Callithrix jacchus: one gene and its partners. The protein of the gene in region 4 purifies or fractionates together with the protein of the main gene of each other region. This does not show direct contact. Links are inferred from orthologs where the notes say so. Each region holds a gene or a part of one and is shown on either strand. Other genes may lie near its edges. The genes, in order: DYRK1A, MECOM, EHMT2, CTBP1, THAP11, AMPD2 and WDCP.

Region 1 (3,500 bases), on a different chromosome or scaffold from region 4:
TTTCAATATATAATGATATAGCTTTGGAGTATACATTTGAACAAAATGAATTTTAAACTCACACTTGTATTATTTTGTGTTGTGATGTTTCAGGTGGCTCATCGGGGACGAGCAACAGTGGGAGAGCCCGGTCAGATCCGACGCACCAGCATCGGCACAGCGGCGGGCACTTCACAGCTGCTGTGCAGGCCATGGACTGCGAGACACACAGTCCCCAGGTGAGCTCGCACGTGGTTCATTTGCTTGTGTCACCTGCCGTGCTCAGGTGGAGCAGCACTGGATGCCAGGTGCCTTTAGAATGACTGTTTCATTTACCCTAAAGGTTCATGACAGTCTCATGTCTAAGGAAATGTCAGTATTTATCACAGAGAAGCACATTGGTGCAGTTCTCTTCCTCTTTGTCTAGAAGTGGCTAACCCTCACTGGGGGCATAGCAGTTGTTTCGAACAGTTTTTCCTTTGTTTATCTCACTTACCAAAGCAGCATTTTGAGCCTCATGCTTTTTTGATTCCCATTTTACAGTGGAAACTGAGATGTTGTGGGTGGAGTACATTTTCGTGGGTCATGATCTTCATGACTCGACTCTGCTTCCTCCCATGATTTTTTAGCATGTGTAGCCCTGGATTCTGAATCAATTTCTGGTTTGATGTTAGCCCCTGTTTCTTGTTGTTGTTTTTTGTTTTTAAACCTGTTGAAGAAGAGGATCCAATTAAGTACTCTGAAAATCTGAGTGAAGCAGATGGTGATGGCACAAATATTTCTATAACCTAATAAAGTTGTAAGTTTGTTCATGCTGAGTTTTGCTTGATGGTGAGAGGCCAGTGTAGTGTTTTGTGGATGAGTAAAACTGCTGTTGATTCCATTCTTGCGACTCGGGCAGCTGAATGGTGCTGGAGAAAGTCCCACATGCAGCTGTTTGTCGTACTGTTCATGTTCACCAGCCTCTGCTGGGCAGTCCTACGTGTTTCCCAAGTTGTCCCATCGTCCCTTATTCTAATAATTGTTTCAGACTTTTCTACTCTTAGAAACTTTGCCCCCCGCCCCCCTTCTCTGTCGTCAGCCACTCTTTGCTTTGTAAGGAAGAGTCTTCAGGCATGAACTCCTTTTACTTTGTAGCATTGAATACATGGTCCTGCCTACATGGCGCTGTCCACTTCTCCTCTACCCCTTTTTTGTTAGAAGCAATGTGTTTGTTTTTGCCTAAGGCCAAGCCCACTCAGTGCCCTGACCCCCTCTCTCCTGCTTTCATGGGGCCTTTGCCCTTTGGTCTTCCTCGGTTCCTGTGTCCTCAGCCTCTCCTCTTTTGGCTCTTTGTGTTAATCAGCATTTCCTCATTCTCAGGCCGTTTCCATCTTAAGTCGTACCTTTGTGTGTCCCCTGTCTTTCTTTCCCTACACTTCTTCTACCTGTGGTGTCTTTGCCTCTACTCTGAAGACCTCCTTGCTTATTCTACTTACGTCCTGCCTTCCAGCTCTCCTGTCAGGGTCAGTGGTGACCTTTATTCATGAGTCCACTGGACACCCTAATGCTGTCTTTCTGCATTCTACAGCTTCATTTGGCAATGTTGACTTTTCCCCTCTTTGAAATACTCACTGCTGGTTTCCTTGGCAGGATGTTCTCCTGTCTCTTTGGGTTTTTTTCTTCTACCCACCTATGAAACCTTGTTGTTCCTCGAGGCGTGACCTGTGTCCTTGTACTGCTCCCCTTAACGTTTCCTTGATGATTTCAGCCACTCCTGCCAGGGCCTGCAGTCACCATCTTTATGCCAGTTTTTCCTGAGTCTCAACTTCTGATTAGACTTCACTTCTGAACCCTAGGGCCTTTCTAATTGTTTACTATAAATGTCACCTTGAAAGTCTCGACAATGTGCAGTGGTAAAATTGCACATAAGCGGATGTCATTTTCACTTCCTTCTCAACTCTTCGACTTCTACCATTCTTTGTAAAAATGGCCCTAAATTTACACATTTGTTCAAGTCATAAATCTGGGGGCACTCCTCTCTCCCTCTTTCCCCACGCTGAATCAGACAGTAGATGATCTGGATTCACCGCATCTTAATACATTTTTATTCTCTGCCTTTCACTTTAACTCATTGTTATGACTTGTCTTACTGGAAAGAGTCCTCTAACCAGTCTTCCAGTGTCTGATTCCATTCACCTGCCAGCACCATTCTTTTCCCTGTAGGCAAGTGAGCTTTCGCTAAAACAGTCTGTTGTTGCTATTTTCCCTCCTTTTGTTTTGAGACGGAGTCTTGCCCCGTCACGCAGGTTGGAGTGCAATGGCACGATCTTGGCTCACTGCAACCTCCACCTCCTGGGTTTAAGTGATTCTCCTGCCTCAGCCTCCTGAGTAGCTGTGTTTACAGACATGCATCACTAAACCTGGCTAATTTTTATATTTTTAGTAGAGACAGGGTTTTGCCATGTTGGTCAGGCTGGTCTTGAACTCTTGACCTCAGGTGATTCACCCACCTTGGCCTCCTGAAGTGCTGGGATTACAGGGATGAGCCACTGTGCCCAGCCTATTTTCCCTGCTTTAAGCCAGTTTTGACTTGCCCTTATAGCTAAAACGAGATGTCGACCTCTTACCGTGGCGTCGGTGCTTTCCGGGATCTGGTTCCCACCCAGGCCATTTTTTCTCCTTGACTCTAGTCACACTGGTTTATTGTTCGGTTTTTGTAATATGCCACATTCTCTGTCACTTCTCTCACATTTCCTGTGCTCTCAGCCTGGAACACTTTTCCTCCTCCTTTTGCTTTGGTAACTACTGTTTATCCTTCGAGTCTTAAGTATCACTATTCCCAGGGGCTTCCCCTGAATCTTTATTCGTCTGTCCTTTCTTCCAAATCTGTTTTATATCACAAACACATACAGGAGTGCAAAGGGTAGGATAAGATACCATGTTCCTCCCACCTGGATTTCACAGAGGTCAGGATATTGCTTCAAATCCTTTTTTATTAACTTTTGAGTGGTTGATATAGTCACACGGTTTTAAAAATAAGCAAATAAAAAAGAATTCAGTGAAAGGTTTTCCTTCCATGCCTTCTAGCCCCTCAGTTTCTAAACCACTGTTATTAGTTATTAGTTTTTTGTATACTTTTTGAGATATTTTATGCATATATATAAGCAGATAGAAACACATATTCTTCATCCACCCTTTGTTCACTAATGGAACCACACCAGGCATCCTGTCTTCCAAACATCTTGGTTTTTCTAGTCTTACCATACATTTTGGAGCACTGTCTGTATCAGTACATAGTGAGCTTTTTCATTCTTTTTTTTTTTTTTTTTGCATAGTATTCCGTTTAGATATTTCATAAGTCTCTTCACCATTCACCTGTTGTTTGTTTATTTTTAGAGCTAGAGTCTTGCTCTGTCACCCAGGCTGGAGAGCAGTGGTGTGATCACGGCTCACTGCAGCTTTTGGCATCTGGGCTCAAGCAGTCCGTGCCAACCACCCCCCAGCCTCCTCAGTAATTAGGCCTACAATTGTGTCCCATC
Region 2 (3,412 bases), on a different chromosome or scaffold from region 4:
TAACTCTTTCAGAATATTCTTTATCTTGTTCTCTAAAAGTAGGTACATAATCAGAATCGATAATTTAGGTTCAATGCTCACTTAGCCCATACTTTAAACTCTGCCAAAGATAAGAACTCTATATTATTTATTTTTAATTCCTCAGGATCTAACACAGAGCCTGGCACAGAGTAGATGCTTAAGAAATATTTGTTAAATGGATCGTGGGATATTGTAGAGGTCCAAAAGGCAAACTCCATACACAAAAGTCAAATGTGTACATTTAGAGCGATGACCCAGCAAATCAAAATCAGCCTGCAAGGGCAGATTTTCTAACTGAATGCAGTGATTACGAAGAAACCACAGACTGGCCACATGTCTCAGCATGACTCCCAGAGATGAAATTCTGCCTAACAACAGAGGCATTTTGTCTTTGTTTACAGACAGTGGAATGTCTTTGGCAGGACTTTAATGATTCCACTTCAGCAGCATTTTGACAAGCAAGTTTAGCAATGGATGAGACCAACAATAGCAAATCAACAGTGAAAAGTTCACGCACAAGTCAAGACCAAACATTTCATTTGAATATTTTGCTTGGCAGTAAATGGGGGATTCTCTGAACAGTTATTTAAAATTTGACATGATAATAGGGAAGAAAGAGCAGTTCCTCACAGAGCACCTCTATGCACCTTCTGCTCAGCAGACACTAGAAAATAAGTTGATTAAAACATTTGTTGGGTCTTGTGTTTTGTTTTATTTTTTTGGTAGAGCTGATTTGATCCACCTTAACTTTGGGTATCAGCACTGAGCATGTCAAGCATTAAGGGAAATTGGAGAAAAGACACTGGATTAAAAGTTGGGCAGAAATACACTTTAGTTATGCTTCGCCCACTATCTAATTGAGTGACTTTGGGCAAGTCACTCAAGCGACTTCAGTGCTTTTGGTTATAAAGTGTAGGAGTCAGGCTGTATCATCTACGAGGCCACAGCTCTGTCAAGGTAGGTCTATATCCTATTAATATTTGCAGTTCAGTCATAAGCACACAATAATATTTTTGATGAATTGAACATATGTAGTAGATGGATGGCTGTATTTATGGTTGGACAGGAGAATTACTCATTTTTCTCAATGGAGGCACACTATTTGCATTTTAGATAGGATAGTTAATTTTTTGTTTGGGAGGGTATGTCACTTTTGGGGCCTCTAGGCACTAAAGGCCAACAGTAATCCCATGTCATTTCTACAAAAAAATATGCTATGCCTCCTTTGCCAAACACACCCACGAAGGATACCCCTACTCAGGGTCCCATCCCTTTCCATTTGCCACCAATATTCTTTGAACCAAAAGGGATGATTTTCAAATGCCATTTACTGAGTCTCTTTCCTTTTTACCCCAGGCATATGCTATGATGCTGTCATTGTCTGACAAGGAGTCCCTCCATTCTACATCCCACAGTTCTTCCAACGTGTGGCACAGTATGGCCAGAGCTGCGGCGGAATCCAGTGCTATCCAGTCCATAAGCCACGTATGACGTTACCAAGGTTGACCACAGTGGGACCAAGTCCAACAGTAGCATGGCTCTTTCATATAGGACTATTTACAAGACTGCTGAGCAGAATGCCTTATAAACCTGCAGGGTCACTCATCTAAAGTCTAGTGACCTTAAACTGAATGATTTAAAAAAGAAAGAAAAAAGAAACTATTTATTCTCGATATTTTGTTTTGCACAGCAAAGGCAGCTGCTGACTTCTGGAAGATCAATCAGTGCGACTTACAGTGATTCAATGAAAATAAAAAACTTGCTGGGCTGAAGGCATCTTCCAGTTTACCCCACCTTAGGGTATGGGTGGGTGAGAGGGGCAGTTGAGATGGCAGCGTTGATACGAATGAACACTCCATAGAAACTGAATTCTTTTTTTTTTGTACAAGATCACCTGACATGATTGGGAACAGTTGCTTTTAATTACAGATTTAATTTTTTTCTTCGTTAAAGTTTTATGTAATTTAACCCTTTGAAGACAGAAGTAGTTGGATGAAATGCACAGTCAATTGTTATAGAAACTGATAACAGGGAGTTCTTGTTCCCCCTTTTGCCTTCCTAAGTACATTGTTGAAAACTAGGGAAAAAGGGTATGTGTATATTGTAAACTATGGATGTTCACACTCAAAGAGGTTAAGTCAGTGAAGTAACCTGTTCATCACCAGTACCGCTGTACCACTAATAAATTGTTTGGCAAATCCTTGTAATAACATCTTAATTTTAGACAATCATGTCGCTGTTTTTTAATGTTTATTTTTTTGTGTGTGTTGCGTGTATCATGTATTTATTTGTTGGCAAACTATTGTTTGTTGATTAAAATAGCACTGTTCCAGTCAGCCACTACTTTATGACGTCTGAGGCACACCCCTTTCTGAATTTCAAGGACCAAGGTGACCCGACCTGTGTATGAGAGTGCCAAATGGTGTTTGGCTTTTCTTAACATTCCTTTCTTTGTTGTTGTTTTGTTTTCCTTCTTAATGAACTAAATACGAATAGATGCAACTTAGTTTTTGTAATACTGAAATCGATTCAATTGTATAAACGATTATAATTTCTTTCATGGAAGCATGATTCTTCTGATTAAAAGCTGTACTCCATATTTTATGCTGGTTGTCTGCAAGCTTGTGCGATGTTATGTTCATGTTAATCCTATTTGTAAAATGAAGTGTTCCCAACTTTATGTTAAAAGAGAGAAGGAAATAACAGACTGTATTCAGTTATTTTTCCCCTTTATTGAGGAACCAGATTTTTTTTCTTTTTGTTTGTAATCTCATTTTGAAATAATCGGCAAGTTGAGGTACTTTCTTCAAATGCTTTGTACAATATAAACTGTTATGCCTTTCAGTGCATTACTATGGGAGGAGCAACTAAAAAATAAAGACTTACAAAAAGGAGTATTTTTCCCCACTGTGTGGTATTTTCCCTTCATGCAATTTTCCTTTCCCTTTGGGATCCAATGATTTAAATATATGATGGCTGGGATCTTGATGTCCTAACAGATATGTGAAATCCAGAGCATATTTGTTTTGTTTTGAGATAGCCTAAGTGATAGTTCTTGGGCAATAGTGAGTCTTCTCATCGTTCAGAACTTTCCGCATGTTTTGCAGTTGGGGCTTAAGTGCCGCTGCCCAGTCCTGGTATCGCTTCATGTTCACAGTATCCACTTAAATCAGGACAAAGAGGGACTTACAGGTTTTCTGCAGATTGTATGCCAAAAGGAACTCAGATTCTTATTTTTGTATTTCATTATGTGTCAAATGATTCACAAAGGGGGGGAAACCTTTGACTTTTCTATGCTCCTTTTAAGTTTTTGTCCATATGCAAAATATCCTTTGTTCATTGTTATAACCAGAGTCTAAACATGATTTGTTTTTTCTTTCTTTGCTCATGG
Region 3 (3,500 bases), on a different chromosome or scaffold from region 4:
CCAGGATGGGCGATTGCTCCAGGAATTTAACAAGATTGAGCCCCCACTGATTTTCGAGTGTAACCAGGCATGTTCCTGCTGGAGAAACTGCAAGAACCGTGTTGTACAGAGTGGCATCAAGTGAGGCCCTGCTCCACAGCCCTCTCTCTCTCTCCCACCTCACCCTTTCCTCCCTGTCCCTCGGGCTTTTGGATGGAGGGCTCCATTCAACAATGCCCTCTCTCCTACCCCCAGGGTTCGGCTACAGCTCTACCGAACAGCCAAGATGGGCTGGGGGGTCCGCGCCCTGCAGACCATCCCACAGGGAACCTTCATCTGCGAGTAAGTCATCAGGGGCACCTTGACATCTGGTGGGAAGGGGACACACGCCCACTGCTGACTGCCACGCCTCCCTCTCAGCCCCCTGCCCTGATGGGTCACATGTCTCCATCTGGCCACTCTCCAGCCAGCCTTCTCTGACCCACATCCCCGAAGCTGAGGATGGCACCTGCCTCCACTCTGCCCAGACCAAAGAGCCTGAGTTCCCTCCCCTCCACCCTCTCCTCTCCCTTCCTAGCTAGGGAAAGTGCCAGTTTGGGAGACAAACAGACTTGGGTTTGAGCCCCTCTCTGCTTCTGGATGTCCTTGGCCAAGTTATTTAACCTCTTTCAGCCTTATTTTTCTTGTCTGTGGAGTGGAGGTGATAACAGCTACCTTTCTGTCCACCACCTCAGGGGTCTGTCCCTCTCCATCAGTTCTTTCTCTGCCCAGCATCTGTAATCTCCCCCTTTCTCCTAGCTCCTATCTCACAACCCTCAGTCTCACCTTGGTCTCCTTTGGCCTTTCTTTTTTTATTTTTTATTTTTTTTTTGAGGTGGAGTTTTGCTTTCAATGCCCAAGCTGAAGGGAGTGAATGGTGCGATCTCAGCTCACTGCAACCTCCACTTCCCAGGTTAAAGCATTCTCCTGCCTCAGCCTCCTGAGTAGCTAGGATTACAGGCACGTGCCACACACCCAGCTAATTTTTTGTGTTTTTAGTAGAAACGGGGTTTCACCATGTTAGCCAGACTGGTCTCGAACTCCTGACCTCAGATGATCAACCTCCCTCGATCTCCCAAAGTGCTGGGATTATAGGCATGAGCCACTGCACCTGGCCATCCTTTGGCCTTTAAAATATATAGTCTTCTAGCCCTACTTGCCTGTTCAAGAGACCATCCAGTTTCTCTCCATCATGTCATCTCAACTTCTTGGGCAAGCAGCTCCTTCCTGCTGGGCCTCAGTTTCCCCACCATCCACTCCAAAATTGGCCTTTGCCCTTCCCACTCTGTGGAAGCTGTCTCTTGACAGTCACTCCCCACCCCACGTCGTCTGCATGTGTCTCGATCTCCTGGCATCTGCTCACCCCTCCTTAGGCTGCTGACTCCTCTCCTCCCTCTGGTGTCCAGATGTAGGTGCTCTTGCCCTCCTCATGCCCTGAGCTCCTTGCCACTCCTCCATCTCCGGCTCTTCCTGCAGCCCTGAGCCCCTCCTGTCCTACATTGCCTGTTTTTGCTGGGTGGCTCCTAGTACACAAACCTCTGTGTCCAAACCCAAACTTCCCCACCCAGGCCAACTGCCCCTGCACACTAATTCCCTTAACCACAGAGCTTTGCATCTGTCGCTGTGCTGACTGGAGACTTCCTCTGTCGAGCCTGGAATGCTGCCATTTCCACCACTGCTGCTCCAGGCCTTCCCTCACCTACACCTGCCAGCCCTGCCTATTCCAGATTCCACGGGCTTATAAGGAGATAGGGGCCTGGAGCCACCTCCTAGTAGTCCACACAGCTTCAGAACCATGGATTCCTGTCCCACAGGTATGTCGGGGAGCTGATCTCTGATGCTGAGGCTGACGTGAGAGAGGATGATTCTTACCTCTTCGACTTAGACAACAAGGTGAGCAGGAAACCCTCCTTACCCTGCTGTTCCCCAGGGCTGGCTTTCAGGAGCCCCTGAGAAGTCAGCAAGTGGAAACCTGGGGAGGAGGGATTGGGGAGTCAGTGGGTGGGGAGGGTGATCAGGCAAGCAGGGTGTGGGGAGATGTGAAGAATGCCATCCTCCCCCCAGGATGGAGAGGTGTACTGCATTGATGCCCGTTACTATGGCAACATCAGCCGCTTCATTAACCACCTGTGTGACCCCAACATCATTCCCGTCCGGGTCTTCATGCTGCACCAAGACCTGCGATTTCCACGAATTGCCTTCTTCAGTTCCCGAGACATCCGGACTGGGGAGGAGCTAGGGTGAGACTCTAGGGGTCTTTAGGGACTCTGCCAGGGCTTCGAGATGCAGCAAACCTGGGACCTGAAGCCTGGTGTGTACCTGGTGTCCAGACAGGGATTAGTGCAGAGCTTCTCAGATTTCAGTGTACATAAGTATCTCCTGGAGGACTTGGTGAAACAGTCCTGAGCCTCCCAGAGAGAATCTGATTCGGTAGGTTTGGGATGGGGCCCAGGATTCTGCGTTTCTAGCAAGTCCCCAGACAGTGCTGGTGCTGCAAGTCCATAGAACATACAGGGGGCTCAGAGTCCATCTGGAGAACATGGGGTGGGTGCAGGGTCCCTCTTAGGGAGTGCGATCCACGGGGTCTTCGGGGTGGGCTCTCAGCTGGGTCCAGGTCCCACAAGCTCCTGTTTTCCTCTGACAGGTTTGACTATGGCGACCGCTTCTGGGACATCAAAAGCAAATACTTCACCTGCCAGTGTGGCTCTGAGAAGTGCAAGCACTCAGCCGAAGCCATTGCCCTAGAGCAGAGCCGTCTGGCCCGCCTGGACCCGCACCCTGAGCTGCTGCCCGAGCTCAGCTCCCTGCCCCCTGTCAACACCTGAGAATGGACCACACCCTCCCTCCCCAGCATAGGCCACAGCTCAGTCGCCTCCTCTGTCACCAGCTGCTCGCAGCCCATGCCTGGGGTGCTGCCATCTTCTCTCCCCGCCACCCCTTCACACATTCCTGAACAGAGACCCCAGCCAGGCCCTGGAGGTCTGACAGCCCCTCCCTCCCAGAGCTGGTTCCTCCCTGGGAGGGCAGCTTCAGGGCCACCCCCCTGGTCCCCATCCTCAGTTGAAGTTTGATGAATTGAAATCGGGCCTCTATGCCAACTGGTTCCTTTTGTCTTCAATAAATGTTGGGTTTGGTAATAAACTGCGATTTTTGTGTTGGGGCGGGGAGGAAGCATACTCAGCCAGAGGGAGGGTGGGTTCAAGAGCCAGAAAGGGATGGAAAGCAGGCTGGATAGGTGTGGCTGATGTGACAGCCAGTGCAGGGTGCCAGTGGGGTGGGAGGTGTGTGGGTGGCCACCATGAAAATCCAGTGGAAGGATTATAAAGGGCCAATTTCCAGGCACAGTGGCTCACACCTGTAATCCCAGCACTTTGGGAGGCCGAGGCAGGTGAATTCACCTGAGGTCAGGAGTTCAAGACTAGCCTGGCCAACAAGGTGAAACCCCGTCTCTACTCAAAATACAAAAAATTCGCTGGGTGTGG
Region 4 (3,985 bases):
ACTGAGGCTGGCTGGGGGAATCCAGGCCTCTGGCATCCTCACCAAGGTAACTCTTGAGCAGCTCCCAGACAGCCCATTGTGTAGGGCAAACACCAGGAGCCCCTCCTGTGTGCAGGTACATGGCAGGCTCAACCATGGCCAGAGGGCAGGCACATGCTCGGCCAAACCCTAGAGGGTGGTGGGCATCTGCTCATCACAGGGGAGGACGGGAGGTGGGAGAGGCAGGTGGGCCTGTGGGGGTTGGGACGAGCTGTGCACATGGCTTGGCACACCCAAAGCTGAGGTTTCTCCTTGGGCAACACAGTCACATGTGAGTGTAGGAATCTCGGCTGGAGTTGCCCAACGTGGGGAGCAGACAGCACTGTAGCCAAAACCGCAGCTGGAGAATGCAGTGCTTGGAACAAGCCAAGCCATTGGGACGGGGCTGGGGCCAAGTAGACATGATAATGCACTAACGAGCAGTGCGGGGGGTAGGCTGTGGAGCGTGATCCTGGGGGAGACGCTGGATCCCTGGCTGGCCTGCATTGCTCTCCAGAGCTTTTAGCTGCCTGTGGAATTCCAGGTGCTCTGCTCCAGCTACTTTCAACGTATAAGCAGGAAGTGGATGCTGGAGAGGAACTGCTCTTCTGGACTGAGCTTGCTGCTCATGGCAGCCCCACCTACAGGGCCCAAAGCCTTATTGATGTTCCTTGCACCTTCCACCACGTGGCTGCCTCTTGAGCTCTGCAAGTGCACCACAGAGCCAGGAATTTCTCCCCAAAAGCCTCTCCATTTTACCCACGACCCCCCAGTAAATCACAACCTGAGAATAGAGTGTCTGCGACCCCCCTGTCCCCAGCTCCCCTGGGGGCAGGGGTTGGCACATCCCTGTGCCCGGCCACTTGCTGCCTCCTCCTGGGCTGCTGGTCCATGCCCAGTGGACAGGAAAGCCCAGCGAGGTCCCTGCCTGTGCACCCCGCCAACCACACTGTCCCCTCCCGGCAGCCTCACCTAGGCCCCTCCAGTGGCGGCCCCTTGTCCCCTGCACCCATGCCTGGCCTTGGAAGTTGCTGCTCACTTTTCTGGAATATTCTTTTCTTAGATCTCTGCAGGACTGTCCCTACCCCTACAAGGGCTCCACACATGTTCCCTCCTTCATGACTCCCACTGGGCTTCCCCGGCAGAGCCCCATGTCTCCAAAGCTCTGGTGACACCTGCCAGGCTTCCTCCAGGCCACAGCTCCGCAGCGCGCGTCTGAAAGAGAATAGGAAGTGGCCCGCAGGGCAGGCTGGCTGAGGGCCCCAGCACTGTCAGCGGGGTCTGAGGTCCTCCCAGCCCTGAAGGGGAAACTGGAGCTTCTCAGGCCAGCCCAGGACGCGTCCTCAGGAACCACAGCAGGTGCCTGGCAGCGGAGAGGAGTCTGCGTCTTTCAGGATCCATACTGTTGTATCCGAAACTATGCAAACACTTCGGGGTGCTCAGAGTAGCCCCGCAGAGGCCCTCCCCACGGGGCGGAGGGAAGCGTCCACTCGCTATCCCTGGGCCCTTGGAGAGTCCGCAGAGGCAGCCCCTGGGGGAGCAGGCCGGGGTCTGGACGTCTCCTGCAGCGGGCGGGGCTTTGCTATTAATCCTTAACCCAAATTATGGAAAGAGGAGCTGAGCTGCCAGGACGCCGGTCGGCTACAAACCCCACTCTTGTTAAAGACAGAGGGGGTCGGGGAGGGGGTTCTCCGGCCCTGAGCTTCCCGGGCCTGGCAGAACGCGGCCCCTCCGGGAGTCCGGGTCCCCGGGCGGGGGAGGCACCGGGGCGAGCGCGCTTCTCCCGGGGCCCCGAGTGCGGCCGGCTCTCGGACGGTAAATTCAGGGCCCGGGTGGAGGCGACGGGGTCCCGCGGCCTCGGTGACCCTGGACAGCAGCGGGAAGAGCGGGACCGCAAGGACAGGCTCCCCGGGGGCGCACGGACCCCGCCGCGCACCGGCTGCAGGGCCAGGCCGCGGGCCGAGGCGCGAACGCGGGAGGCGGCGGCCGGAGGGGCGGGAAGGGAGCGGGGCGGCCCCGGCGCGGAGGAGCGCCATTTACGTTCCGGCCCGCGCCGGGCGCTGACGTGGGCGGCCCGGCCCGGCCGGCGGCGCAGTCCCGCAGGGGCCTCGGGGTGGACGGCCCGACCCTGCCCGTCTTCCTCGGGGACGGGCGGTTTAGAACGTACAGAACTCCGGGCCCCGGGGCTCCGCCGGGCTGCAACCCCGACCAGCTTCCCGCCGGGCTCCCGCCCCGCCCCGCGGCCGCGCCCCGGCCGGGCGGGCCCTGAGCCGCCCGCGTGAGTCCGCCCGCCGCCCGCGCCGGGAACCAGGAGACCAACCGCGAGGCCCCGCCCGCGCGCGCCGCCGTGTCCCCGCCCGCGCGGTCGTCCGAGCGCGGCTCAGCGGCGCGGCGGAGACTCGGCACGGCGGCGGCCAGGCGCAGGCGGGCGGGCGGAGCAGCGGACGGCGCCGAGGCCGCCCCAAGCGCCGGGCTCGCGGCGGCAGAGCGCGCCGGAGTGGTCGGGGCCCGCGGCCGCCCGCGCCTCTCGATGGGCAGCTCGCACTTGCTCAACAAGGGCCTGCCGCTGGGTAAGGCCGCGCGCGCGCGCGTTTCCGGCCGCGGGCGGGGGCGGGGCGGGGCGGAGGCCGCGCGGGCGGGGGACGCGGGGGCGGGTTGAGCGCGCGCCCGCAGGCCGCCGGCTTTGTGTGCGAGTGCGCGTGCGCGCTAGCGCCCGCGCGTAGCCGCGACCGGGGGCGGGACCGCGGGAGGGGTGGTGCGCATGCGCGGACGGCTGCGTACCGGTGCGCGTGCGCGAGCGCCGCTGTCCGCCCGCCCCGCCCGCGGCCCGCGCAGGTGACACAAAGGGGCCTGCGGGCCTCTTGGCTGCCCCGCGGGATCCCCCGGCTCCACTGGCCCTAGGCCCTGGGGACCCGGGACGGCCCCCTGAGTCCCGATCCCCGGCCGCGACCCAGTCCCCAGTCATGACCCCGCGGCTGGGCCTGCGGGGCTGAGGTGTGGGGTGCGCCCTGCGCAGCTCGGGACGTCCTGGGGCGCGCTCCCTGGGCCACTCGCGGGAGCGCGCCCCGCCCGCCCGGAGACCGCCGGCTACGGTGGCGGCGCGCTGTGGGGAAAGAGGACGGGCCCCGGGCGCCTGGTCTGACCGCGGAGGAGGCCGCCACCCTGAGACCGGGCCCAAAGCGCAGCCCCCGGCTGTGACGCGGGAGGGCCCGGGGGTCTCCGTCCCCGCGAAGTCCCGGACCCGCCCGGCGCCCCCACCTGCTCGTGCCTGGTGCCGCCCTGGTCCTCGGGCGCCTTCCCCGCGGGCTGCGGAAGCAGGGAGCTTGGGCGGGAGCCGGGCCCGCAGGCATCGCCATCTTGCAGTGCCCGCGTTCTGGGCCGGCCCGGGCCGCTCCGCGGAGCGTCTGCCCCCACCTCCGACTCGGCTGCAAAGGCAGAGCCCGTGCGCCTGAGCCGCGGGCCGGGGCCGGAGCCCTGCTGCTCTAGTCTGTGTGATTGCCCGGACAGAATCCCTTCCAGTGGGGAAGAGGGAGGGCGGGCGCGCTGTTCCCGGTGCTCCGAGCTGGGGAGGGGAACCCTGAGAGCCGGGGTTACAGGGCCCGGCGTCTGGCCGAGGCGGCGGGTGCGCAGGGTGCCCCGTCCAGCTCCGTGGAGCACGGGCCCCCCGAGTCCTCTCCACCGTTTGCGAAGGAGCTCGGCAAGGGGCGCACGTTCCTCAGGGAAAGAAAGGCGCTGGCGGCTGGGCCCGCACCTCGGCTGTCCCCGCTGAGCTAGCGCGGTGACCCCGGCCTTCCCGGCCTTTCCCGGCCAGGGGGTGGCCTCTGCGCGTCCGCGTCTCCAGCTGCGACTTGGGACGGTGTTGGGGCAGCACCGTGGGGAACTATTTGCCGTTGCAGCTGAGGATGACAGCTGCGGTTTGTGGGACCCCTTTCTCTGTCCTGGAACCTCGTTGGGCGTGGCTCTGCCC
Region 5 (3,523 bases), on a different chromosome or scaffold from region 4:
TAGTTTGCAGGTAATTCCCCTGGAGAACTGCCTAGGTCCTCCCGGCTTTCCACAACCTTTCTTGTTCTTTACAACATTTTCCTCCAAAGAAGGTGAGGTAGGGTGGAGGTGTCTCGTTACAATGCAAATCCTGTCGCGTAAAATCCTTTAACGGCTCTCAGTGGCCTGCAGAATAAAACCCTAAATCCTTAGCTTGTCCCAGTTTGGTATTTTCCTACGCTTCGACTACCAGGGCCACCCCCTTCCAGGCTCTTTAAGGGCGGAGCCTAGCTCTTTTCTGCCTTGTGGCCTTAGACTGGTTCCCGGGACAAGAACTGGCTATTTCTCTCTACCCAAGCTTTCGGTCGTTTTTTATTCCTGGCCCTCCCTGCCCCTGTATTTCTCTGCTCTCCTGTTCATTCCTTTGGAGCGTTTACTTTCTGTGATCCATTTGCGTGCCTTCACATCTGTAAAAGACAGACCCTCATCCTTCTATGTAGTTGGGCTCCAAGAGAGGAGCCCAGTCAGTCTGGCCACCGGAAACTCTCTGCACTGTGTCAGTCACACAGTAGGCGTCTACTGGTGACTTTGTTTAGGTGAGTAAGTGAGGAAACGCAGGCAGCAGCTGAATCAGGAGAGAGTCCCCAACGCAAAGAAAAGAGCTCCTGAGACCTTTCGGGGCGCCGAGGCCCAGGTTTCGTCTCCCTCTGCTGCAGTAATGCCGTCGACTCAAAAGGCGCTCGGGGCTGGGGGTGCTGCTTCTGGCAAACAGCACAACGTCGCCCGAATTCTGGTCCGCAGTAACTCGACCTTTCCCTTAGGCGGCGCTCCGGACCGCAGTTACGGAGTTCAGCGCGAGGCATCACGGGATTGGTAGTCTCCGTGGGCATACCCATGGCGATTGCGCACTGGCGAGGCGCGTACCGCCTAGCTCCACGCCCCTTTCAGGATTCGGGTCCTTGTGAGGAGCAGTCCAGGCGACAGCGTTCCAACCTAATACGCTTCTCTCGCCCGCCTCCGGGGACAAGCCGAGTTGAGGAAAGAATCTGCTCTTCGGAGGCTATCGCAGTGTCCTGAAAGGCGGCCGGAATCCACATACACCCGCCCCGGAAGTGAGCGGCTCCTGGCGCGGTGCATTGTGGGGGGCGTAGTCTCTTTCTCAGGCGGTCCTTCGCGGCGTCCCCGGGGCCGACTCCCGAGCGCAGGCGAGCAGCCAGGCGGGCGGCGCGGCGCGGGCCGACAGGAAGCATATTCTGGGCACGGGGCGCCGGGCGGGCCGGCTGCGTCTAGCGGCAGTGGTGGAATACTACCCAAAGCCTCGCGCGGCGCCGCCCGTCGAGGGGCGGGCGGCGGCGGAGCCACTTGGCCGTCGACGGGCGCAGGAGGCCGGTGGGCCGGGCCGGGCCTCGCGGCGCAGCCATGCCTGGCTTTACGTGCTGCGTGCCAGGCTGCTACAACAACTCGCACCGGGACAAGGCGCTGCACTTCTACACGTTTCCAAAGGACGCTGAGTTGCGGCGTCTCTGGCTCAAGAACGTGTCGCGTGCCGGCGTCAGTGGGTGCTTCTCCACCTTCCAGCCCACCACAGGCCACCGTCTCTGCAGCGTTCACTTCCAGGGCGGCCGCAAGACCTACACGGTACGCGTCCCCACCATCTTTCCGCTGCGCGGCGTTAATGAGCGCAAAGTAGCGCGCAGACCCGCTGGGGCCGCGGCCGCCCGCCGCAGGCAGCAGCAGCAGCAACAGCAGCAGCAACAGCAGCAGCAGCAGCAGCAGCAGCAGCAACAGCAGCAGTCGTCGTCACCCTCTTCCTCCACTGCCCAGACTGCCCAGCTGCAGCCGAACCTGGTGTCTGCTTCCGCGGCCGTGCTTCTCACCCTCCAGGCCGCTGTAGACAGCAGTCAGGCTCCCGGATCCGTGCCGCCGGCGCCCATTACTCCCACTGGAGAAGACGTGAAGCCCATCGACCTTACAGTGCAAGTGGAGTTTGCAGCCGCAGAGGGCGCAGCCGCTGCGGCCGCCGCCTCGGAGCTACAGGCTGCTACTGCAGGGCTGGAGGCTGCCGAATGCCCTATAGGCCCCCAGTTGGTGGTGGTAGGGGAAGAGGGCTTCCCTGATACTGGCTCCGACCATTCGTACTCCTTGTCGTCAGGCACCACGGAGGAGGAGCTCCTGCGCAAGCTGAATGAACAGCGGGACATCCTGGCGCTGATGGAAGTGAAGATGAAAGAGATGAAAGGCAACATTCGCCACCTGCGTCTCACCGAGGCCAAGCTGCGCGAAGAACTCCGCGAGAAGGATCGGCTGCTTGCCATGGCTGTCATCCGGAAGAAGCACGGAATGTGAACTGGTGCCCTGGCGGCCTGCTGGACTCCCAGACCCCATCCAGCCCAGAGGACTGCAGACCACTGTTGAACTCCTCTATACTCCTGGGGCACTGGTCGACAGTACTGAGGCTTCAGGCAACTGGACTCCCTTGCTGGTGACCTGGCACCCTCAGTTGTTTGCTCCTGAAGTGGAAGCTGGGGCCTTAGACTCTGCCCTGGTGACACCAGCAATTATGACTTTGTTTACCCTTCCTCCCCAGTTATTGTTGCAGATTCTGGTTAAGCAGAGGCTTCAAAACCATTGAACTTGAAACTTACCCTTTAGGGATGCAGGTGGGATGTCCAGGGACTATGGGTTTGGGAAAACCATACTTTAAGGTTGGTCAGCAGTCAGACAACTCTAATGTGTGTAGTGATAAGAGAGTCAAGTAACATCTCTTCTCCTCCTCTTCATGCTTTTCCTTCCCAGGTAGAGCCTGTGATTCTGATGGGGACTGGTAAATCTGTGCCTCTGCCTCCTAGGACTTCTTTCCCCAGCAGGCCATTTACAAGGGGATCTGGGTGACCTGCTGATGGAGGTCCAGCTTGCCAGGGACTTAGGTTTATCCCGTTTTGTTTGCTACTGGTTACAAATTCTATTTTCTGTACAATTAGTCAGACTAAAGTTTTCACTGTGTTTGTTTGGCAAAACAAATTAAACAAAAAGTAAGGTTTTTATTTGGGTCTCGCCATTTTATTTTTTACAAAAACATAGCTAAATGTCCTTGAAACATGGAGAAATAGGCCTCAGCCTATTTGAAAGACCAGGCTGATCCTGAAAGTAGAGATGCTTCAGTGACCAGATTTCTCCAAAAATGGGCCCTAAGCACATGGATCCTGGCCTTATAAAGTCCTCAAGAGTTCCTGGCTCAGCTCACCCTAAAGTGTTTGGAAACTGCACCAAATGGGCCCAGTTTGTCCATGGGTTATTCTCCCTGTGTCCTTTCAACAAGATGGAGCAACTGGTAACTAAGCTGTATTGTGACTGTTCACCTCTGAGGGTTTTGAATTCTCAGCTGGGATTGAATTTTGCTCACGGTAACATCCCTTAGGTTTAGCACAGCCTTTGGTACGCATGTGCATGCAGTTACTCTCTGAACCAGTGAGACCACAGCTGGAGCTAGCCAGGGCTGCTTCAGGCACAAGGAATCTTGTATAGATACCTTGGCCTTGGTACA
Region 6 (3,500 bases), on a different chromosome or scaffold from region 4:
GCTGGGCTTGCTCTCTTCACCAAGCTCCCTTCCATGCCAGTTGCTTAGAGGTGGAGCTGCCATACCCCGACCTGCAGGAATTTGTGGCTGACGTCAATGTGCTCATGGCCCTGATTATCAATGGCCCCATGTGAGTCCCCTGACACCCCAGACACTTAGCTCGCCTCCCAGCCCAGATTCTCCAGCCCCAACTCTGCCCCAGACTCCTGCCACCTGGTGTCCTGCCCTTCCTAGTTGCTGAGCCCTAGACTTCTACTGCCCTCTTGGCAGCCTCCCTCCTTACCGTCCCACCTGCTCCCTCCTCACCCTCCCACCTGCTCCCTCCTCACTCTCCCACCTGCTCCCTCCTCACCCTCCCACCTGCTCCCTCCTCACCCTCCCACCTGCTCCCTCCTCACTCTCCTACCTGCTCCCTCCTTACCCTCCCACCTCCTCTCTCCTTACCCTCCCACCTGCTCCCTCCTCACCCTCCCACCTCCTCCCTCCTCACCCTCCCACCTCCTCCTTACCCTCCCACCTGCTCCCTCCTCACCTTCCCACCTGCTCCCTCCTCACCCTCCCACCTGCTCTCTCCTCACCCTCCCACCTGCTCCCTCCTCACCCTCCCACCTGCTCCCTCCTCACTCTCCCACCTGCTCCCTCCTTACCCTCCCACCTCCTCTCTCCTCACCCTCCCACCTGCTCCCTCCTCACCATCCCACCTGCTCCCTCCTCACCCTCCCACCTGCTCCCTCCTCACCCTCCCACCTGCTCCCTCCTCACCCTCCCACCTCCTCCTTACCCTCCCACCTGCTCCCTCCTCACCTTCCCACCTGCTCTCTCCTCACCCTCCCACCTGCTCCCTCCTCACCCTCCCACCTGCTCCCTCCTCACTCTCCCACCTGCTCCCTCCTTACCCTCCCACCTCCTCCCTCCTCACCCTCCCACCTGCTCCCTCCTCACCCTCCCACCTGCTCCCTCCTCACCTTCCCACCTGCTCCCTCCTCACCCTCCCACCTGCTCTCTCCTCACCCTCCCACCTGCTCCCTCCTCACCCTCCCACCTGCTCCCTCCTCACTCTCCCACCTGCTCCCTCCTCACCCTCCCACCTCCTCTCTCCTCACCCTCCCACCTGCTCCCTCCTCACCCTCCCACCTGCTCCCTCCTCACCTTCCCACCTGCTCCCTCCTCACCCTCCCACCTGCTCTCTCCTCACCCTCCCACCTGCTCCCTCCTCACCCTCCCACCTGCTCCCTCCTCACCTTCCCACCTGCTCCCTCCTCACCCTCCCACCTGCTCCCTCCTCACCCTCCCACCTGCTCCCTCCTCACCCTCCCACCTGCTCCCTCCTCACTCTCCCACCTGCTCCCTCCTCACCCTCCCACCTGCTCCCTCCTCACCCTCCCACCTGCTCCCTCCTCACCATCCCACCTGCTCCCTCCTCACCCTCCCACCTGCTCCCTCCTCACCCTCCCACCTGCTCCCTCCTCACCCTCCCACCTCCTCCCTCCTCACCCTCCCACCTCCTCCTCACCCTCCCACCTGCTCCCTCCTCACCCTCCCACCTGCTCCCTCCTCACCCTCCCACCTCCTCCTCACCCTCCCACCTGCTCCCTCCTCACCCTCCCACCTGCTCCCTCCTCACCCTCCCACCTGCTCCCTCCTCACCCTCCCACCTGCTCCCTCCTCACCTTCCCACCTGCTCCCTCCTCACCCTCCCACCTGCTCTCTCCTCACCCTCCCACCTGCTCCCTCCTCACCCTCCCACCTGCTCCCTCCTCACTCTCCCACCTGCTCCCTCCTCACCCTCCCACCTCCTCTCTCCTCACCCTCCCACCTGCTCCCTCCTCACCATCCCACCTGCTCCCTCCTCACCCTCCCACCTGCTCTCTCCTCACCCTCCCACCTGCTCCCTCCTCACCCTCCCACCTCCTCCCTCCTCACCCTCCCACCTCCTCCTTACCCTCCCACCTGCTCCCTCCTCACCCTCCCACCTGCTCCCTCCTCACCCTCCCACCTGCTCTCTCCTCACCCTCCCACCTGCTCCCTCCTCACCCTCCCACCTGCTCCCTCCTCACCCTCCCACCTGCTCCCTCCTCACCCTCCCACCTCCTCTCTCCTCACCCTCCCACCTGCTCCCTCCTCACCCTCCCACCTGCTCCCTCCTCACCCTCCCACCTGCTCCCTCCTCACTCTCCCACCTGCTCCCTCCTTACCCTCCCACCTGCTCCCTCCTTACCCTCCCACCTGCTCCCTTCTAACCCTCCCACTTGCTCCCGAAGAGCTGCTACCAGGGCCCTCCCCAGGTGCCTCCCTTCAGGGCCTAAGTCCCTGCCTTGTTCTCCTCATGCCCAGAAAGTCATTCTGCTACCGCCGGCTGCAGTACCTGAGCTCCAAGTTCCAGATGCACGTGCTACTCAATGAGATGAAGGAGCTGGCCGCCCAGAAGAAAGTGCCACACCGAGATTTCTACAACATCCGCAAGGTGGGCCCTCAGCCCATGGTCCTCTCCATGTCCTGGTCCCACACCCTTGCCCAGCCTCCTCTTCAAGGGCCAGGCCCCCCACGCAGCATCCAGGACAGAGGGTGCCTTCCCATCGCACTACCCTGGGCCCCAGACCTTCCCAGCCTCCGGTGTACCAGCAGCGCCCTGTTCCACCCCAGGTGGACACCCACATCCACGCCTCATCCTGCATGAACCAGAAGCACCTGCTGCGCTTCATCAAGAGGGCGATGAAGCGGCACCTGGAGGAGATCGTGCACGTGGAGCAGGGCCGTGAGCAGACGCTGCGGGAGGTCTTCGAGAGCATGAACCTCACGGCCTACGACCTGAGTGTGGACACGCTGGATGTGCATGCGGTCTGTGCCAGTGTTGTGGGCTGTGGGACTGAGTCAGCCAGGGGACCAGGAGTCAGGGGTGACCTGAGCCTGCCCGTGTCCCCCAGGACAGGAACACTTTCCATCGCTTTGACAAGTTTAATGCCAAATACAACCCTATTGGGGAGTCCGTTCTCCGAGAGATCTTCATCAAGACGGACAACAGGGTATCTGGGAAGTACTTTGCTCACATCATCAAGGTGAGGAGGCAGCCTTCCCTGCCAAGCCTCGAGCCTGAGGATCTGGGGGCTTTTGTGGGGTGAGATTCTAGGAGGGTGGGCAGATGGCCCCTGAAGAGCTCTGACTCAGCTCACCTCATGTCTAGGAGGTGATGTCGGACCTGGAGGAGAGCAAATACCAGAATGCAGAGCTTCGGCTCTCCATTTATGGGCGCTCGAGGGATGAGTGGGACAAGCTGGCGCGCTGGGCCGTCATGCACCGCGTGCACTCCCCCAACGTGCGCTGGCTGGTGCAGGTGCCCCGCCTCTTGTGAGTGTCCCTTGGAATGGGAAGAGAACTGTGGGGCCATGTTCAACGGTCAGGGCCTGCCTCCTGCCCTCCTGGGATGATTAAGCCTCCCTTGTCCCTGCCAACTCCTCTGAGTATGAGGAAGGGCTTCTTAGTCCCACCCATGGTCTGTCCAG
Region 7 (4,230 bases), on a different chromosome or scaffold from region 4:
AATATTTTTCAGTCATGGTGTGCAACTTTGTATCACGATTTTCACCTAGCATTATATAATTAGCATTTCCCCATGTTATTTAAACGTTTTATAAATTAGTTTTAGAGCCCACTTCAACACTCAGTGAAGTGACAAGGTACTGAACAGCTCCTGGCTGTATCCAACTTTACCCCGCTATAAATAACGCTGTGACCGAGGTCTTAATGCTTAAAGCCCATTTCCTGACTTTGGATGACTTCCTTGGAACACATTCCCAGGAGTATTATTCACGAGTCACAGTCATATTCGCTCGTTTACACCCACACCCAGCGCGGTCCTCATTCCGCGACCCCTCACACGCGGCCCGCCCCATTCTCCTCATGCTCTGCGCACTCCTGAATGTCCTCCCTCCCTCCAGACCCCCATCCCCCATCCCACCTACCCCCCCACCCCCGCTCCGGTCCACTTCCCTCCTGACCCCCTACAGCCTCCCCACATCCGCCAGGCCCGGCAGCAGTGGAGACAAAATACCTTAGGTCTCACTGCCTCACAAAAACACCAGCTTCCCTGAGGCAGCCCAATATCACGCCGCCGCAGATCAGAAGCTTTGGGCAGTCACCGGAAGCACCGGCTCTCAGACCTCTGATAGGTGAGCGGTGGCCGTGCACGCTCCGCGATGGCCCCGTCTATTGGCTTTTGAATGTGCACGTTAGGAGAGGGTTTGTCCCACTGGCCAATAAGCTCTGGCTCTGCCTCACGGATCGCTGGGAGTAGTAGTTCCCATGAAACCACCGACCGCAAGCCCGCCACATTTTTTCTTCCCCAAAGCACTTGAGCTCCTCCCCCGCTTCTCTTTGGTTCTCTTGTCTAAGGCATTCAGGAGCCCTAGGATCAACACGGGTTCTTAACCTTCTTTAGATTCTGATAAAATCTCTCCAGGAAAATGTTCTTATCTGTACCCAAAATATTGTGCATTCAACTGAAGCTGCTTCATGGGACTGTCCCGGCTACAAATCCTTGTTCTACACCGACCCTAAGCGTGCCTGCTCTGGTGCATCCCTTAGGCTTAGTGCGTTCCTGAGGCTTCTGTAGACCAGCTACACTCTTGGAAGACTCTGGGCCATATCTCGGAGCAGCCCATGAGAAATTCCAGGTCATGACCTTCACAGTACAGTTAACCATCGTCTTTCTTGAACAACACAGCCCGTCCTCCTTCAGGGATGCAGACAACCTCATCTGGGACCTAAGCATACAGGAGAGTGGGAGTCGGGAAATGGAGGAAGAACACCCTTGGGGCTCATACTGGGCCCGTCTGCCAGGTTTTTTTTCCCCATGCCTATCTTCCAGTGCCACTTAGCAGAATCATACCTTCACATCAGTTTTTGTTTATGTTTTTCTTTTCTTTTTTTAAAAAATAAAAACGGTATGCCTATAATCCCAGCGCTTTGGGAGGCTGAGGCGGGTGGATAACCTGAGTTTAGGAGTTCAAGACCAGCCTGGCCAACATGGTGAAACCCTGCCTCTACTAAAAATATGACAGCCAGATGTGGTGGCTCATGCCTGTAATCCCAGCTACTTGGGAGGCTGAGACACGAGACGAGAGGCAGAGGTTGCAGTGAGCTGAGACTGTGCCACTGCACTCTAGCCTGGTGACAGAGTGAGATTCTGTCTCCAAAAAAAAAAAAAAATAGAGACGGGATCTCTCTTTGTTGCTCACACTGGTCTCGAACTCCTGGGCTCAAGCAATCCTCCTGTCTTGATCTCCCAGTGTTGAGATTACAGGTGTGAGCCATTGTTTCAAAAATTGATTTGCCCGGCCTCACATCAATTTTTGGAACAATGCAGATAATAATGAGGGGGGGAAAGTTTTAAAAGTCCTAATTACCCTTCAAACAAATGTTACCTCCTCCAGAAAATATTTTTCTACATTCTTGAATGTGTATTTAGGTAAAGGAGGAACTCAAAGTAGAATTCATTTACATATTCATTCATTCACTCCACTGTCCTAATCACTCCACGCGGTAAATGTGTATGCCCGCCCCTCTCGGACTTAGTACCTGGAAGACAGCCATCCTGTCTTAATTCAATTGGTATCCCCAGGGTGCATTTCTTTGCCTTGAAAATTGAGTACCCAATAAATGTGCGTGGAGCAGAACTACGCGAGATGGAGAACAGGGGTTTAGGGGTGTAGGGGAAGAGTCAGCAAGGACTGATGTCCTCCCTCCCTCCCCCAGCTCTGCTCCTGCAGATCCAGGACGCCTAGCCAGAGTAGGAACCTCTCTGGTGCTTCCGCAACGCTCTGAACTGCAGGGTACTGAGCGCATCTACTTAGAGTGATGGTTTCATTAGATAGTAACACAGCGAGACCCTGATTCTACAAAAAATAAAAAATTAGCTGGGCGTGGTTGCTCGCCCCTCTAGTCCCAGCTACTAGGGAGGTTGACGCAGAAGGATCGCTTGAGAGTTAGAGTTCGAGGTTGCTGTGAGCTAATGATCACGCCACTGCACTCCAGTCTGGGCGACAGAATAAGATCCTCTCTCTAAATAAAAATAAAAATAAAGTGATGGTTTAATTGTCGGCCTTTGCCTCTCCTCTCCCTCACCCCCCACAAGTCTGTAGGACCGGGTTAACTCCCCAGAGCTTAGCACAGATTCGATGCTAAATAAATGTGTTTTGGACGGATGGGCTAATGAACGGATAGATGGAGGATGAGGGGGTGCTCACCACGCTTCCCGGTCAGTGGATTATTGTCGTCAGCGGGGCTAGGCTCGCAAACAACCGGGCGGGTCCCTTCCCCCGGGCCCCGCCCCGGCCGACCCCACCTTTCCGCGCGGCTCCGCCCCGCCGCCCCCTTCCCAGTGGCCCCTCCCCGCGCAGGTCCCGACTCCAGCCGCACCTCCTCCGGCTCTGCAGTGGCGGCGGGGAGGCGAGCGGGAGCGACTACGGGGCCGGGGCCGGAGCCGAGCCGGGGTCGGGCAGCAGCAGGGACCCCCCGGAGGCGGGGCCTGTGGGACCGCTATGGGCGTGGAGATCGAGACCATCTCCCCTGGAGACGGTACCGGGCTCCCTCCGGAGCCAGGGGAGGGGAGTGGTCCCGGGGCGGAGCCCGGCGGGCGGGGGTCTGATTCGGAGGTGGCGCGGAGGGTGCCGAAGGGTTGGGGGGACTGGGTGGGGAAGGCTGGCGGAGACCCCGGACGGGATTCTTGGGGGTCTAAGAGACCGTCCTCCACCATCCTCTTCCGCGCTCACCTTTGGGAATGTAGGCGGCAGCCCGGAGGTGAGGTCTGCGGCCCGGAGGTGGGGGTCTGCGTCCCGGAGGCGGGGGTCTATAGCCCGGAGGCGGGGGTCTGCGGCCCACCACCGCCCGGGGCTGATGCTGTCGCGGCTGCAACCGCTCGGTTTTCCGCTGCTGCAGATACCCAAGGCTGGGTTTCTGCTTCTCTTTCCTTGCCCTGCTCAGCGAGCTCTGGAAACCAGGGAAGACCTGCTCTCCGGTCTCCGCTGCTCGGGACTTCCTCCTAGCGCGTCCCCCGCCTGGCCTCCCGTCGGGCCCCCGAGGGCCCGCTGTGAGCGGCTGTGGGGACAGACCCAAGCTGGAAGGGGGAAGCGCTCCCTTGCTCGCTTCCGCACCTCGCTTTATCCTCCCGCCGCATTCAGACTCCCTGGCCACCCTGTCCACTCCCATGGCCTCCACATTGAAGCTTCTAAGCCCAGCCCTCCGACCTGCCAGACCTCTCCCTGGACGTCCCAGGGTGTGCCCTCGTCAGCAAGTTCAAAACAGAACTCACGCTTCCAACCTTTTCCTCTGAGTGATCCTTCTTACTCCTGTTCTGTGTCTCATTTTCCCAAGCCCTTGTATTATTGGGCCTGGGTATGCAAGGAATAGTCATTTCTTTATTTCTTGAAATTTAATTCATACCAAAGCCCACATTGTCTGCAGGGTTTGATGGGCAAACTTCTTATCAGATATTAATATGAACAGCTCCCCTCCTGAGGAAATTGGGGGACTTCTTGGCTCCAGGCCATCTTCCTTGTCCAATCCCAACCACTACCTCGGATCTCCCCTGGGGTACAGGCTTCTTTGCCCATGCAGGAAACCTTGGTGCTGGGTCTCAGAAAGCATCTCCCTGAGGCCTTGTCATCTCCAGCAGCCCCTGAAGTGGTCTCCCCGTCTTCAATCTCTCCTCCCTGCCTTCAATCTCGTTCCCAATCTCATATTCACTCCCTTTCTACACCATAGTCTGAGGACT

What was found.
Region 1: the proteins of CTBP1 (region 4) and DYRK1A purify together in Homo sapiens (affinity purification with mass spectrometry; 4 studies listed by BioGRID and IntAct, with this or other methods). This does not show direct contact. The link is inferred for Callithrix jacchus from reciprocal best matches to the Homo sapiens genes CTBP1 and DYRK1A.
Region 2: the proteins of CTBP1 (region 4) and MECOM purify together in Homo sapiens (affinity purification with mass spectrometry; 6 studies listed by BioGRID and IntAct, counting the BioPlex papers as one, with this or other methods). This does not show direct contact. The link is inferred for Callithrix jacchus from reciprocal best matches to the Homo sapiens genes CTBP1 and MECOM.
Region 3: the proteins of CTBP1 (region 4) and EHMT2 purify together in Homo sapiens (affinity purification with mass spectrometry; 4 studies listed by BioGRID and IntAct, counting the BioPlex papers as one, with this or other methods). This does not show direct contact. The link is inferred for Callithrix jacchus from reciprocal best matches to the Homo sapiens genes CTBP1 and EHMT2.
Region 5: the proteins of CTBP1 (region 4) and THAP11 purify together in Homo sapiens (co-immunoprecipitation; 4 studies listed by BioGRID and IntAct, with this or other methods). This does not show direct contact. The link is inferred for Callithrix jacchus from reciprocal best matches to the Homo sapiens genes CTBP1 and THAP11.
Region 6: the proteins of CTBP1 (region 4) and AMPD2 purify together in Homo sapiens (affinity purification with mass spectrometry; 3 studies listed by BioGRID and IntAct, with this or other methods). This does not show direct contact. The link is inferred for Callithrix jacchus from reciprocal best matches to the Homo sapiens genes CTBP1 and AMPD2.
Region 7: the proteins of CTBP1 (region 4) and WDCP purify together in Homo sapiens (affinity purification with mass spectrometry; 3 studies listed by BioGRID and IntAct, counting the BioPlex papers as one, with this or other methods). This does not show direct contact. The link is inferred for Callithrix jacchus from reciprocal best matches to the Homo sapiens genes CTBP1 and WDCP.

Annotation. Positions count from the first base shown.
Region 1 is NC_133522.1:43,472,155-43,475,654, forward strand, and holds part of DYRK1A (dual specificity tyrosine-phosphorylation-regulated kinase 1A), read left to right. Parts: intron 1-93; coding exon 94-218; intron 219-3,500. UniProt on the Homo sapiens protein: Dual-specificity kinase which possesses both serine/threonine and tyrosine kinase activities. Exhibits a substrate preference for proline at position P+1 and arginine at position P-3.
Region 2 is NC_133518.1:17,955,799-17,959,210, forward strand, and holds the end of MECOM (histone-lysine N-methyltransferase MECOM), read left to right. Parts: intron 1-1,377; coding exon 1,378-1,512; 3' UTR 1,513-2,912; downstream 2,913-3,412.
Region 3 is NC_133505.1:39,388,664-39,392,163, reverse strand, and holds the end of EHMT2 (histone-lysine N-methyltransferase EHMT2), read left to right. Parts: intron 1-4; coding exon 5-120; intron 121-234; coding exon 235-321; intron 322-1,832; coding exon 1,833-1,911; intron 1,912-2,082; coding exon 2,083-2,258; intron 2,259-2,662; coding exon 2,663-2,843; 3' UTR 2,844-3,159; downstream 3,160-3,500. UniProt on the Homo sapiens protein: Histone methyltransferase that specifically mono- and dimethylates 'Lys-9' of histone H3 (H3K9me1 and H3K9me2, respectively) in euchromatin.
Region 4 is NC_133504.1:191,923,913-191,927,897, forward strand, and holds the start of CTBP1 (C-terminal-binding protein 1), read left to right. Parts: upstream 1-1,185; 5' UTR 1,186-1,377; intron 1,378-1,381; exon of another isoform or gene 1,382-1,419; intron 1,420-1,631; exon of another isoform or gene 1,632-1,833; intron 1,834-2,373; exon of another isoform or gene 2,374-2,548; coding exon of another isoform or gene 2,549-2,588; intron 2,589-2,823; exon of another isoform or gene 2,824-3,985. UniProt on the Homo sapiens protein: Corepressor targeting diverse transcription regulators such as GLIS2 or BCL6. Has dehydrogenase activity. Involved in controlling the equilibrium between tubular and stacked structures in the Golgi complex.
Region 5 is NC_133521.1:25,372,943-25,376,465, forward strand, and holds THAP11 (THAP domain-containing protein 11), read left to right. Parts: upstream 1-1,163; 5' UTR 1,164-1,398; coding exon 1,399-2,325; 3' UTR 2,326-3,023; downstream 3,024-3,523. UniProt on the Homo sapiens protein: Transcription factor, which has both transcriptional activation and repression activities. Also modulates chromatin accessibility.
Region 6 is NC_133508.1:147,522,367-147,525,866, forward strand, and holds part of AMPD2 (AMP deaminase 2), read left to right. Parts: intron 1-40; coding exon 41-130; intron 131-2,334; coding exon 2,335-2,464; intron 2,465-2,643; coding exon 2,644-2,838; intron 2,839-2,924; coding exon 2,925-3,056; intron 3,057-3,181; coding exon 3,182-3,345; intron 3,346-3,500. UniProt on the Homo sapiens protein: AMP deaminase plays a critical role in energy metabolism. Catalyzes the deamination of AMP to IMP and plays an important role in the purine nucleotide cycle.
Region 7 is NC_133515.1:91,202,616-91,206,845, reverse strand, and holds the start of WDCP (WD repeat and coiled-coil-containing protein), read right to left. Parts: upstream 2,801-4,230; 5' UTR 2,705-2,800; intron 600-2,704; exon of another isoform or gene 511-599; intron 1-510. Other genes in the region: peptidyl-prolyl cis-trans isomerase FKBP1B, read left to right, coding at 2,999-3,257.